2 linked regions of the Daphnia pulex genome follow. The protein of the gene in region 1 interacts with the protein of each later gene in a pairwise test. Links are inferred from orthologs where the notes say so. Each region holds a gene or a part of one and is shown on either strand. Other genes may lie near its edges. The genes, in order: hexokinase type 2-like and uncharacterized protein LOC124190201.

Region 1 (6,466 bases):
CGAGTTACCTTTAAATTATGGGGCGATGATTACTAGATAATTATATACGACGACGATGTACCATCATCGTGGCGAACGTGGCAAGAAAAGATAATGAGGCTCTCATTCAAACAACCGTCGTCAGTCGAGTTCCATTTTAAGCAATGCCCTTTTTGGCCCACCCCCTCCCAGTAAAAGCGGACTGGTTTTTCGATGGATGCGCGCGCACTGGCCGATAGCATCTGGGCCATCAATTCACTGTTTCTATAGCAAATGAATTGTTATTTTTCCCTTCAAAAGCGGCTTCGATGACCCCCCCAATATTGGGAGCATTTGTTTTCGTTCATTTTGCCTCTCTTGTGCGTCTATTTTGATCCTTACCGAACCCAAAAGACGCGAGTGCCGGTCGAAGATAGCAAAGGCGGAGCTCATCCAGATTCTTGACGCCAAGAGCTGCGTCGACGACGTCGGCGCAAGGCAGGTTCATGGCCTGAACAACGACATCGAATGTCCTTTATATAGTCAGTTGTCAATGTGACGTTAGCCGATTCCCAGTTACGCCGAAAAAGTTCCCGTGAAATCCATTCAATCCCCCCAGTACACCTCTTCCAACCGTCCGGAAATTCGAGCCGACCCCATGTCCGTCTCATTCTACCTTCCCGAATTGGAATTAGAGAACCCCAGATCAAACAGAAGCGAGGTATAATTCTAGTTAAATGTCATCGTAGTGTCTGTGTCAATCAGGAGTTACCTAGAAAATAGCCAGGCTGCCAAGTTGTGGGAAAACCTTGGAGATCATCAGTATTCTAGGACGATATGGATTAGAGCGCCCTCAATATTTTTTTGACACACACTCCGTGTTTGTGTATTGGTGTGTGTGAGTGTGACTTGAGTGTGTGTGTGTGTGTCTGTGACGTAGAAATAAAGAGAAAGAGAACGTCAATACTCGTCAGGGACGCTGGCGAAGAAATGGATGATGCAATTTTGACCAAAACTCCGCCCAGTATGTCAGACGAGCCTCCCGTTCGGCAACCAACCGCAATGGGGTGTTCCCAATTTTGTCAGAAAAGTTGTACAATTTTGTGGTTTTCCATTGCAAGTGAAAATGGGAAAACAATTTTCCGTGTCTGAATCATTAATCAAATACTTCATATCGTCACTCGGCGTCGTATTGACGCCATGACGGCACTAGTACCGCTCTTATCGATCTATTTCACAATCCGTCAACTCGATTTCATGTAACGGGCGCACTGAAACCTAGCCAGGCTGACGGCCGGCAGCCGCCAAACACACCTTAATTCACTATGGCAATCGTGAAAAGAGCTTTCATTCGATTAACGAATATTACGCCACGGAAAAAATGGGTAATCATAAATTCCCCCTCGTATCTCGGTTGCCAAATTGAAACCTATCCAGGAGCCACCATATAATACTCTAAACATGGTTAGATTGCATTTGGCGGTAAGTAGGATTTTTTGTTTTCGAAGGCTGGCGCTGACGCAAGGTTATCATCACACAAGTATAGATGAAGTTGACGTGAAAACCGTTGGGATTTTTGGTTTGCTTTTATTCGCGAAGGTCTACGTGAAAAAGAACATGACGCCCTTTTGCGCGCGCGGCGTCCGCCAATGACCTTTACTGGATTATTGATTTTCCGTTTCCCAGCCGGCGCAACGCTTTGCCCTTCGCCTGTTCTTTAGCCATCGATCCAGCCATCTATAACGGGTATTTTTCTTTTTTTTTTTTGCGCTACCTACTGCATTTCCCTGGCCACTGCAACCTTGGCTGTTACAAGATCGATCCCTATTTGTGGGCCTTTTTTTGTCCTTATTTACGGATGCTACTTTTTTTTCCACTAGTGCGGAACTTGTCAGTGTGTAGAAGGGCCTGGAACAAGAAAAAACAAAAGTCGATTCGTCAGTGTGGCGCAGTACTGGCTCCTCCTGGGGCTGTAATATCCGGGATAAGGATCATTATTACACTTTTCGCGAAATGTTTCCTGGAAACTTTTTAATTGAAAAAATGTCTTTGCAATCACCTTAGGATGATGGATGTGTGTGTGTGAAATGGCAATGCCCAGTGCAGGGGAAGGGAAAAAAAGATGCAGGACAAGGTTGTCGTTTCTGCGGAACGTCCAGCCCAGTGGTTCCAGTCGGCAGCACATTTTCATTTGCACACGTGTCGGGATATATAAACGAGAGCGTCCAACATCCTGGCCAGACCTGCCACCATCTCGATCGAAATACGACAGGCATTCGTCCATCCCCCCGTGAAATAAAGTATCTAGTCGGAAAAATTTTTTTCCAGTGAGTAGCGCAGAATCAGATTTCGTACGACTCGGCCGAGTTTCACTGGAGATATTGCCCGGTCAGCAGGAAACCGCGCCCCGCCACTTTGATTCGCCCCTTCTTATTTTTGCTTCACGTCACGTCAGCCCACCAACTTCCCCAAACCACCATATCTCGAAAGAAAAATACAGTTTAATTTGTCTATTGTTTCACCAGAAAAACAATTAGAATTAGCCTACATCCAGTGGGATCGAGTTGTTGGAAGGTGTCGGTTTTGGATACGGCCGGACTGCGCACTCCTGTAAGGGAGAACTTCACTTTGCCACCGCTTCAGCAATAAAATAAAATAAAAAAGTGGGAAATTCAATCCGCCCGATTCACGGTGGTTGGCCAATCATCGGACAACTGTCAACTGATCCTACGTGCTGGTTGTAAAAAGGGGATTGAAAGAAAGAAGAGCATATAGTATATGCGTCTCAACGAAACCGTGTCATTTCACGTTTTAAAAACTCGTCGATCTCAACTGCCAACTTACCAGTCATCGTCAGGCCGTCTGTCGTGCTCCAGGTCTCCTTTGAAATCAACCGAACATCATCCCAAATCGCTTCCACTTTGGTGTGGAAGTTTGCGAACTTGATCCCACGTGATTTTTTGTTTGATTGACGGACGAAATGACGGGCAAGTGCAGGATCTGGCGTTCCATGTTGATGCGCTGGCTGGCCCGCATTAGCCGGGCCAAACAGCGACTCGTTCCCCGACGCGTAAGTGTTCGCACCTAATAACCCTTTTTTTTAAATTGTTTAAAAAATCCCAAAAAGTTCAAATCGATTCCTAATGGCAAAATGGCGTAACGGAGATCGGGCGGATATGGTGGTCATCGATACGAAAGCTTATGGCTGTGTGCAGCACGAACATATGGAAATCAAAGTCGAGACTTCCCGCTAGTGATGAAAAGAGAGAACCCACCAATCTGACAGTTTATGACTTGTTTTACATCTTGGCGTCCATCGTCGAAAATTCAAAGGTCTCTCATGTTCGTAAGCTGATCCTACACGTGGATCGATTTATTCCCTAGCGAAAGAATTATCTCTTTGATTAGATTGCGTCATATCGTATCTTCCAGTCCAAAGAGCAAACCAGTCGTCGAGTACTCCACTAAATAGCCGAGTTGCTAAGCTAAAATGAAACGTTTCTTTTTTAATTTTTCATTCTTCTCTTTTTTTTTATTATTGAACAGATCGAAGAGCGATGCGCGGAACTTATCTTGTCGGACGAACAACTACGCGACGTGTGTCAACGATTGCTGGTCGAGATCAACCGAGGACTCAATAAGGACACCAATAAAGAGGCAACCGTCAAATGTTTTCCCACCTACGTCAGGGAACTGCCCAACGGCGAAGGTAATTCAAATGAAATATTAATCGTCTAGGATTTTGTTCGGTTGGTATTCGCTAAGCGTTGCGCAATATCAGACAAAAGATAAAATAAAAAAGGTAGTTGGCGTCTCTCCAACTTGCCATTATAATAAATCTCTACATGTATGCATAGCGTCAATGTCTGCAACATTTTTTAGGAGATGGCTTTGTTCCATTTCGGCATGAGGCTGAAACGTGTTCACCGTCTACTAGTTTATGACCTTGCCAAATTGCGTAGCAACATTTTCCGAGACCCCTTAAATTTTCGTGAAAATAGGAAATCAATTCGAAAATTCATTCAAAGTCAAGGCTAAAATAATCACACCGTACATGGCTTGTAGTTTGTAATGTCTTGGGCAGCAGCAGCATGCAGCCACTGACCCGTTAACCTTGAGTAGTGCCGCTACAAACCAAGTCAGTGTCCGTGCGTGATACTGACTCCAATGCGTTGCGTAATTGATTCAACTTTGAATTTAATACCGTTTCAATCCGGTAGAATGTGGAAAATTTCTGGCGCTGGATTTAGGCGGAACCAACTTTCGTGTTCTGCTCATCGATTTGGGTCCTCACATCTTTCACATGGTTCGTTCACATTCCGTCAATAATTTCGATTGATTACGTCACGTTAAATGGTTTCTTTTATGTCAATGCAGGAGTCGAAAATCTTTGCCGTTCCCCAGAGTGTCATGCTTGGTCCTGGAACCGGGGTACATCAAATCAAAGTTCAAATTCCTTAAATAATTGACGATGTTGATTTCTTTTCATCTGTGCAGTTATTCGACCACATCGCTGAATGTTTAGCCACTTTTATGCACGAGCATATGGTGGACGTGTCGCCATTGCCCCTGGGTTTCACTTTCAGTTTCCCTTGCAGCCAGGAAGGTTTAACCAAGGCCCGATTGGCCACCTGGACTAAAGGATTCAAGTGTTCAGGCGTCGAAGGCGAAGATGTTGTCAGACTTCTCCAGGTTCGTTTGATTGAAGAAAGAAAAAATCAATTGACTTGTATCCAATGAATGAGCTAATGAAATACGTAATCTGGTAGGAGGCAATCGCTCGTCGGGGTGATATCAAGATCGACGTGATGGCCGTCCTGAATGACACGACCGGGACTTTGATGGCTTGCGCCTGGAAGAACCAGGCATGCCGGATCGGTCTCATTCTCGGAACTGGAATCAATGCGTGCTACGTGGAGCGATTAGAGAACGTACAACTGTGGGACGGCGATTACGAAGAACCTAACCAGGTCGTCATCAACACGGAGCTGGGCGCATTCGGCGACAACGGAACGCTCGAATTCATCCGGACCGAATACGATCGGACCATTGACCAGCATTCACTCAACCCTGGACGGCAATTGTACGCTACTCACGCTCACATTCAATTCGTCCGTCGCCCCTGATACTTGACCAAGTTCTCTCTCGTCTTTCTATTTTTCTGTTCCAGATTTGAGAAAATGATCTCGGGAATGTACATGGGTGAAGTGACTCGTCTCGTTTTAGCCCAGTTGACACGAGAAGGACTTCTCTTTGATGGCATGGGCCCAGAAGTGTTATTCGAACCGGGCCAGTTCTTTACGAAATACGTCTCTGAAATCGAGAGGTGCGTTGGTTTGGACACTTTGATTTATTGTTATGACTTACAAATTAATTTGTTTTGTTTTTTACTTCAGTGACAAGAAGGGTGAATACACGTGCTGTCGTCAGGTGCTGGAAGAGTTGGGCTACGAAGATGCCTCGGACGAAGATTGCGCCAACGTGCGCTACATTTGCGAGGCCGTTTCTCGACGGGCGGCCCACATCGCCGCTGCAGCCGTGGCTTGTCTTCTCAACAAGATGGGTCAAAAGCACGTGACGGTGGCCGTTGATGGCTCCCTTTATCGCTTCCACCCTCACTTCCATGATCTGATGGTTGAAAAGATCCGACAGCTCATCAATCCCGGACTAACGGTGAGTCAGTCTCTCCTCCGCAGGCTCACAATAACAAAGTCACTATCAATTTTTCCCCATCATCAACTTGGAAATGAAGAGAAAAAACAATCTTCCGAGTTGATGAACTCTTCGATAAAACAAGAGACGAAAACAAGGAAAAACCTGTCAATTTTTTGTTTTTTAAAAACAAAACAAATCATTTTCTTTCCTTGTCAGTGACGCTCTCTAGCGATAGACAGCAGAGACTTGTTGTTTTTCATTTTTCATTTTATTTTTAAAAACAACATAATTCCTGTTTTAATAATTGTTTCTTTATTTTTGAATAATTGCAGTTCGATTTGATGTTGTCGGAGGATGGAAGTGGTCGAGGTGCTGCGTTGGTGGCCGCGGTGGCCGTCCGAATAGGTAGTCTGGCGGCTAGGTGAATTCTTGCCAATATCGTTTAGTTTTTCCCCCTTCTGAACCCAACACCCTCCCTCTACTACCCCCCTTCACCTGTAACGGCCATTGGAAAAAGAAAAAATACCCCGTGACGGCAATTTTACAAGAAAAATATTTTCAAAACCAACACAAACGAAAATGGGAATGCGGCGTCGTCTGCGCGAAGGAATCGATTATTCTTGACTAATAACAAGAGAATGTTTCTCAATCAAACTCACACATCTAGCGCCACCCCCCCCCCCCCTCCTTTCGCGCAATCAGTACATATAAACAGCATCTTATGAATATAGATATGTAATTTTTAACACACCTTTTTCCCTCCCTTTTATCCCCTCCCCTTATATCCATTCGTATTTCCCCTTATCAGTAGATTTGTTTTAAATAGGGACGGGGAATTTATTATCAACGTAGG
Region 2 (6,792 bases), on another chromosome or scaffold:
TGTTTGGTTTCCGTTAATCAATGCGTACGTAATAACGTCCGTCTGGTTCTGGTTTCTTTTGCAGGGTTTGATTGGTTTGCTGGAAGATCGTGATAATGAAATTTCGGATCTAAAAGACTATATAGACAGTCTGTTATTGAAAGTGATCGACACGTGCCCCACTGTTCTCCAGACGCCCGTCAAAGCCAAAACTTCTCGGAAATAATTTATTTCCCCCGTCCATTTAGAGAAAATCACGCAATCACATGAGGAATTGATGTAATTTTTGGGGTTTTTCTTTAATTTTTTATTTGTACCATTTATGTTTTTTTTTGTTTACACGTTCAATGGTCCAAATGTCCATTCCTTCCATAATTCCTTCCGATAATAGGGATCATCGCTACATTACAAAAACGCCATTTCTCAACTTAAAAATAGTGCGATGATGCTGCTTCTTGTTTGTCGATTGGAAAAAAAAAAACAAGAACACATTCCGACGGCGTGCCTTATGTAACAGAATGCTTGTTGCCGCCATTTATTTTCAAAGTTTCTCGCTTCATATACTGTGTTTCGAATCATAATTTTATCGTAATGTTCTGTTTCTTTCCAGATTGCCCTATTAATTAATGAATAATACAAACATACTGTTTTAAAGCCATTATCCGTTTCGTCATTATTATTCAATTTCCGGTGTCATGCAAATGGGGATATCCGTTGAGCTATGAGTTTCATCTTGATGTGGATTTAATTGAGTTTCAATCAATCTACTGCTGCTATCAAATGAACAGCGCTGTCCCTCAAAAACTGAGATTACAGCATTCGAATTCCGTACCATTTTGCAAATTGATGTTCAAATTTATTCGCGCGCTCAGCTCGACAGATCGGATTGCGTTTTCTAGATTTGAATCTTGGCCGCTAGATGGTAGCGCTGAAACCATTGTTTTCATTTGTTATCAAGTGATCTATTTACAGAAAGTCAAATTTTAAATCGTAAAATTGATTAGAATAGTATTGTCACATCGCAGAAATTTCTCGAGATATTCTAACCTTAAATTTTAGCGAATTTCTGAATTTAAATCGCAAAGCCTTACCTATTTAGTCAAATGTGAAACTAGTTTGTGCAAACAATTGTTAGAACTCTCAAAATACATTCCTATCGGTAATTTTATTATCTTCTAATAATATTTCAACGCTCGTTTATAAAAAAATACAATTTGTGTTTATGGAAATAACGTAATCGTTTAAGATTTATCTTGACTTCCCGAATGCGGTCATCGGCCATATTTTGGAAGATGTATAGATTGGAAAGACATATGGCCAAAAGAACTAGTATTTTTCAGTGCACTGGTGGCGGTGCCTTGTATCCGGAGCTTCAAAATTTCCCCATTTCTTCCATTTGCTGAGTCGATTGTGATCATGTTGTGAATTCCAGCCGCATGGAGCGCTGGGTGAAAACTAGCAGACAAACGAGTTCGATTCTCTCCGGTTCTATGGGTCGACAAGTTTTCACAACAACAGCACAGATCACGTACCACTGTAGCTTGCAGCAGTTGAGCTTCAGGCTTTGTCGAACAGAATCTCTCCAACGTTTTCATGCAAATAGTTTGTTGCGTGTGCTTTCACGAAAACCAGTTTTTGTCTTGTTATCGCTTCGAGCAGCAGCTGAATAAAGTAGCAGGTAATCTCGTTGTTTTTCTCTTGTACCTAAAACTTCCTTAAATTTAACAAATCTAATAGCAACCAGACGAAGAAATAACCTTGAAACGATTCATTTAACTAATTGTGTTGTTGTTTGTTCCCAAACCACAACGTCCTGAACATTGGACGTCGTTTAATAGTCTATTTTTCTGTAACAAGACACACCTTAGAACGATCTCGTTTAAAAGAAAAAGACCAAGGAAATTGAGGACTGTTGGGTGTATCCATTTTCAATGTGGCCGAAATGTTGATCGTTTCCGCTTCGTATCTAAAATCATAACAAGTCGATGAAATCCTCTGTAATACGAAGACGGTGTAAATTAATTAGTTAAGCCATTAAGAAAGAAGAAAGACATTAATTTCTTTGTCGCTTAACGAGACCAAAGAGACGAGGTGGAGGGAGTAGCCGGGGGTGTGGTGGTGAGCCGATCACGTGCTCGAGTCGTGCTGCGCTGCGTGAAAATGTATCGGGAGAGTTCTAGGACACAGACACACACACACACACCGGCCGGCCCTGCCAGATCTCGCATTTCCTTTTCGTAAATAAAACGAGTCCTCAATAGCGAATAGTGTGTTAGTAAATTGCACGTTGATCTGTTTCCCCATCGTACGTGGGTGTACGGTCATTCCGATGTTTTGAGTAAATTTACAACGGAAACGAGGAATCAGTTAACTGACATCCTCTTATTCTTTTGTTATGTAAAAAAAAAAATAATTCGTATGACGTCATGTTTGTTTGTTGAACTGGACTTGACCGGCGAAGGCTACTGGATTCTTTTTGGTCACATTCCCCAATATGGAGAAGAGAAAATGAAATGAGAGAATTTTTCAAGACTTGAGAGTTGGACAACAAAACAAGACACCAATGGTCTCGACCACTATACTGCGCAGTAGTTTAAAATTCTAATACTATTGCAAAAATAAGAGGAACTGTTTTCGAAATGCGTACGTGATAAACATTGTTGTTTGTTTTAGACCATGGGTTATTATTGTTTTGGTGGTTTGAATCCTAATCTTTGGCACAGATAAACATTGTTTGTGGGAAGATAACGAAGGTAGCAAAAAGAATAGAATTAGATCAACCTTTGCGTCACCGATATATTTTGAATTGTTTAATTTTTAAAATAGTATACAATGTTATGAAGAGCATACAAATGTTGTGTTGTTGACCAAATGTCCGAAAATCCCGAACGCGAAGCCATTTTATTTTTCCTGAAGGTCTTTCGATGTTTGTTTCAGTTGAATGGGTTCGTTTTTTTTTCGGGACTAGTTATATCGTCAACAACTTTGTATTTCTGTATCGATATTTTCGAGTATATCGTCTGGCTGGGACTTGACCCTTTTCGTGCCTCTTTTCGTCACACTGCCATTTTGGATGTGAACCGTATATGGAGTTGTTTACGTCCAGCAGAGAACGTCTGAGCTGAATTTTAAATTATTAGTACACCTGTACCTTGATAATGCCCTTACCATATTTGCTAATTATAAAAACAAAAACAAGTTTGTTACATTTTCAAAAAAAGACAAGAAGAGAAAAACCCAAAGCTTTTGCCATTATGGCACCGAACGAACTGGTACACTTCTTTTTTTTTGCGCAATTTTGCGCAATAGAGTCAATGGAGGTAGGGTAGCTTTCGCCTTTCTCTGCATGAGAGAGAGAGAGACCGGCATCGATTTTCACGGGGCCGAGGACGTACATCAAGAACTCCTTGGTGCTGCTGGTGTTCTCTTTGCTCCTATGACGGAACTACTGTCCACGTGTTCTCAGTGTGCTCGCTTCGTGATTGTGGGGCCCCCCACTTCCCGACCTGGCTATTGGTCGCTGGCGTCGCAGATAAAACGTCACGCAGTTGCGCCGACTCACGACGCCACTCCTCCCGCCCGACCACATAAAGCCAACCTTCAGCTCGTTCACGCCAACCATTATTCTCTGTAAAATCTGACGGAACGCAGTGTGTCTCTCTGTCTCTTGTCCAGCGTATTCAAGTTTCGAAATTAATTGCCTTTTGTTCTCTTGCGATTGTGTGGACGATATTTCATTCTGGTATTACATTCTTGATAAAAAAGAATTTCAATATAGATTTCGTTAAAAACAAAAAATTGTGCAAAAATGCCCGTCGAGTGTCTCATCCCCGACGACAGGTTAAAACTTCTTTTGTTTTGTTTTGGTTTTTGTTGGGTAGTAGCTGCACAGGCTTAGAGAAAATCGATATTTTGGCTTTTCGATCAATCCAAGCAGACTAAAACTTGTATTTGACAAATGCGCAATACCGAAAGCAGCAATTCTTATTGATGGCTTCTTTGTTCTTTTTGTAGGTTGTCGAAATATCCCCCAACAATTCCTTCATCAAGAATGAACAGAGTGTGCAAGCAGGTTAGCATCGAGAGCCCGGCCACGGTCGGTATGAGCAAGGAATACGTCTTCCAATATGACGTCATGGTGCCTGATGTGCCAGCCTTGGGAGCTCGAGTTAAAGTACGTCGTACCTTCCTTTGTTCTTGCACTTCTTTCATCTTCTTTTATTAAATGTTTTTGTTCTTACTTAATAGGTGATGTGTGCTGGAGCTTGTTACCGGCAGAGGTCTGCCAGTGTTTCCAGCACTTCCAGTACTTGCTCGATGGGCAGTGACAGTGGATGCACCACCAGTGCCTCTCATCGAGGACTTCGTGACTCTTCCTTCTATCCAGGCTATGAAGTGGCTGGAGTAGTAGAATCTATCGGTGAAGAGGTCGACCCCAGCTGTGGAGTTAAAGTTGGTGATCATGTCATTGTCTACCCATTTGATGAATGTCCTCCAGGGTAATCAGTCATTTCGACTTTTTTCTACCAACACCTTGCTTTACATGTTTCCATTTTCTCATAATAGCTATGCTGAATATATGAGTGTACCGGAAATTGAATTCCTGGTCAAGATCCCAGACAATATGTCGTTGTCCGTAGCTGCCATGCTACCATCTGGCGCCCTGTGGGCTCTCAACACCGTCCAGAAGGCCGAGAGCGTTGTTCGACGCATCTCTGAAGAGAAAGGACCCGAGGGTAATGACACAACATTCATCAATCACGTTGACAGAATACTCATTTCGTTCTTTTTGCTTTTTTGCCAAACAGGAATGTGCCACATTCTGGTCGTCGGTACCGGTGGCCTGGCTCTTTGGGCTTTGCGTCTTGCTCGATTTTACTTCAGCGAGAAACAACACCGCGTCCATATTGCCGTGGCCTGCCTTCGTGATGAAGGATTTTGCTTGGCTCAGGAATCTGGAAAGTATGTTGCAGAAGCTGATTAAGTGACGCCACGTGGAAGTAATCCTATAATGTTGTCCTTGCTTGTTTTAGGGTGGATGTTATCCAATGGAATGAGGAGCTTTACGAGCGCATTCTCATTGAAAGGACCAAAGATGCCTGCCATGGTCAGGTTGACGTCGTCATCGATTTTGGCACAACTTCGCGCAGCCTCAACCGATCAATCCAATGTCTACACAAGGGCGGCGTAGTTTTTCTCGGCCATGAAACAGCTGATCGACTTTTACCCAAATTCTCGCGCAAGGCCGTCGAATACGGCATCACCATTGAACCCGTCGAAACGGGATCTGTGCAACAGCTCAAAGAGCTGGTTGACCTTGTTCACTCCGGCAAGGTATTTATCAACTTTGATATCTGAAAAGGAAATGTGTTTCAAAAAATTTAATTTCTCATTTTCAGGTTAAACCTCCACCGCACAGCGTTTTCCCAGCTGAAGAGGCTTCTGACGTGATCAACAAACTGTGCAAATCTGAAATTCCCGGCAGGGCCATTTTGCAATTCCATTCCTCAGCTCAGTAAAAAAAAGAAAAAGGAAAACAAAGATTTAAATAAGATAAATTAACGAAAAAAAAATATGGCGTGTAGGGGGTTGTAAAATATCCGCACAGTTGACTGGAGGGTGAAACAGCATCCGTGTAATACCCAGCACATTTTTTTTAATTATTATTATTTTTTCTTTTTCCATTATTATGGCCCACATAATTTGATTTTGCGTTCCAGTTGCGACTTTTCTGTCAATTCCTTCTAATCAACATTCTGTTGTTTGTTTTTTGTTCGGTTGTATTACCGAATGAAGAGCTCTGGCTCGATCCGTCAAAGTGCACTCCCATTCAACCTCTTAATTACTCCATCAACTCAGTGACAAATTCTTTTCATTGTTTAGTAAATAGGCAGGAAGACATTAGCAATCATGGCAGTTGAATTGAATCTTTTCTCTATAACTACCGTTTTACAGTATATCTCTTACCGTTCTTACCCATATACTATTTAGACTAAAGCCCGTATGTACCAGAGTCAGGGACTATACACTTGGGAGACGTAAACTGTTGCTCTTGTGACTTGTCTGTGCGGGTCTAATATAGCGTTCTCACGAGAAATCGCAAGCGGGTCAAAGCCAAGGGAATCAAAAGACAAACCAATTTGTCTTTTTCTAGGGAAAAGGCAATTCCTTGGGATTTGTCTTCGCTCTTTGCTGTGGCAACTGTTCCATTTGATTCATTTTAGTGTATTTACTTTACAATGGTTGCAATTCAATTATTTCGTTTAATTCCATCGTCATTCAAGCAACGATTCAATTGAGAGAAACTCGGTTTACGCGGGTGATTGCGTATAGTGTCTAGAGGAGATGGAACTCTTTGATTTCTTTTTATTTTGATTTTATTTTTCAAAATTCTTTTCTGTTTTTGGGGATCTCAAGTAGAGAGACGTTGATCGAAATTCGGCTCGATAGATAAAGCGTCGACCAGAGTGAAAATTTTAGTTAAAATTGAAACAAAAACAATAACAGTCTGAAAGTCTGAGATGGTAGGATGTAATCGATTAGAGAAAAGCACACACCGGTGAATGATACAACTAGACAATTTAATTCTGATTTTGTTAACTGATGTTGCCCTTCTCTCCCCCCCCCCCCCTGTCCTAGAGAGAGTCGTGTCGACCACCGGCACTCCATTGTTCTTGTTTTATTCTTTCCGATTCTTTGCAATTATTAAAACAAAATTTTTGTCATTAACGATGATGTTATAATCTAGCGTCTGATTTGGAAAAAGGATCGATGGAGAGCAAGAAAAAATGGGATAAATGAAAACCAATGAGT

The links.
Region 2: the proteins of hexokinase type 2-like (region 1) and uncharacterized protein LOC124190201 interact in a two-hybrid assay, tested with the Caenorhabditis elegans proteins (2 studies listed by BioGRID). The link is inferred for Daphnia pulex from reciprocal best matches to the Caenorhabditis elegans genes hxk-1 and ZK829.7.

The regions. Positions count from the first base shown.
Region 1 is NC_060018.1:5,021,025-5,027,490, forward strand, and holds the start of hexokinase type 2-like, read left to right. Parts: upstream 1-1,951; 5' UTR 1,952-2,938; coding exon 2,939-3,028; intron 3,029-3,504; coding exon 3,505-3,667; intron 3,668-4,178; coding exon 4,179-4,264; intron 4,265-4,335; coding exon 4,336-4,389; intron 4,390-4,455; coding exon 4,456-4,650; intron 4,651-4,727; coding exon 4,728-5,041; intron 5,042-5,128; coding exon 5,129-5,284; intron 5,285-5,354; coding exon 5,355-5,631; intron 5,632-5,945; coding exon 5,946-6,038; 3' UTR 6,039-6,466.
Region 2 is NC_060019.1:10,428,927-10,435,718, forward strand, and holds the start of uncharacterized protein LOC124190201, read left to right. Parts: upstream 1-2,615; 5' UTR 2,616-3,787; coding exon 3,788-3,819; intron 3,820-3,993; coding exon 3,994-4,153; intron 4,154-4,227; coding exon 4,228-4,478; intron 4,479-4,545; coding exon 4,546-4,941; intron 4,942-5,012; coding exon 5,013-5,313; intron 5,314-5,378; coding exon 5,379-5,498; 3' UTR 5,499-6,792. Other genes in the region: uncharacterized protein LOC124190200, read left to right, coding at 65-205.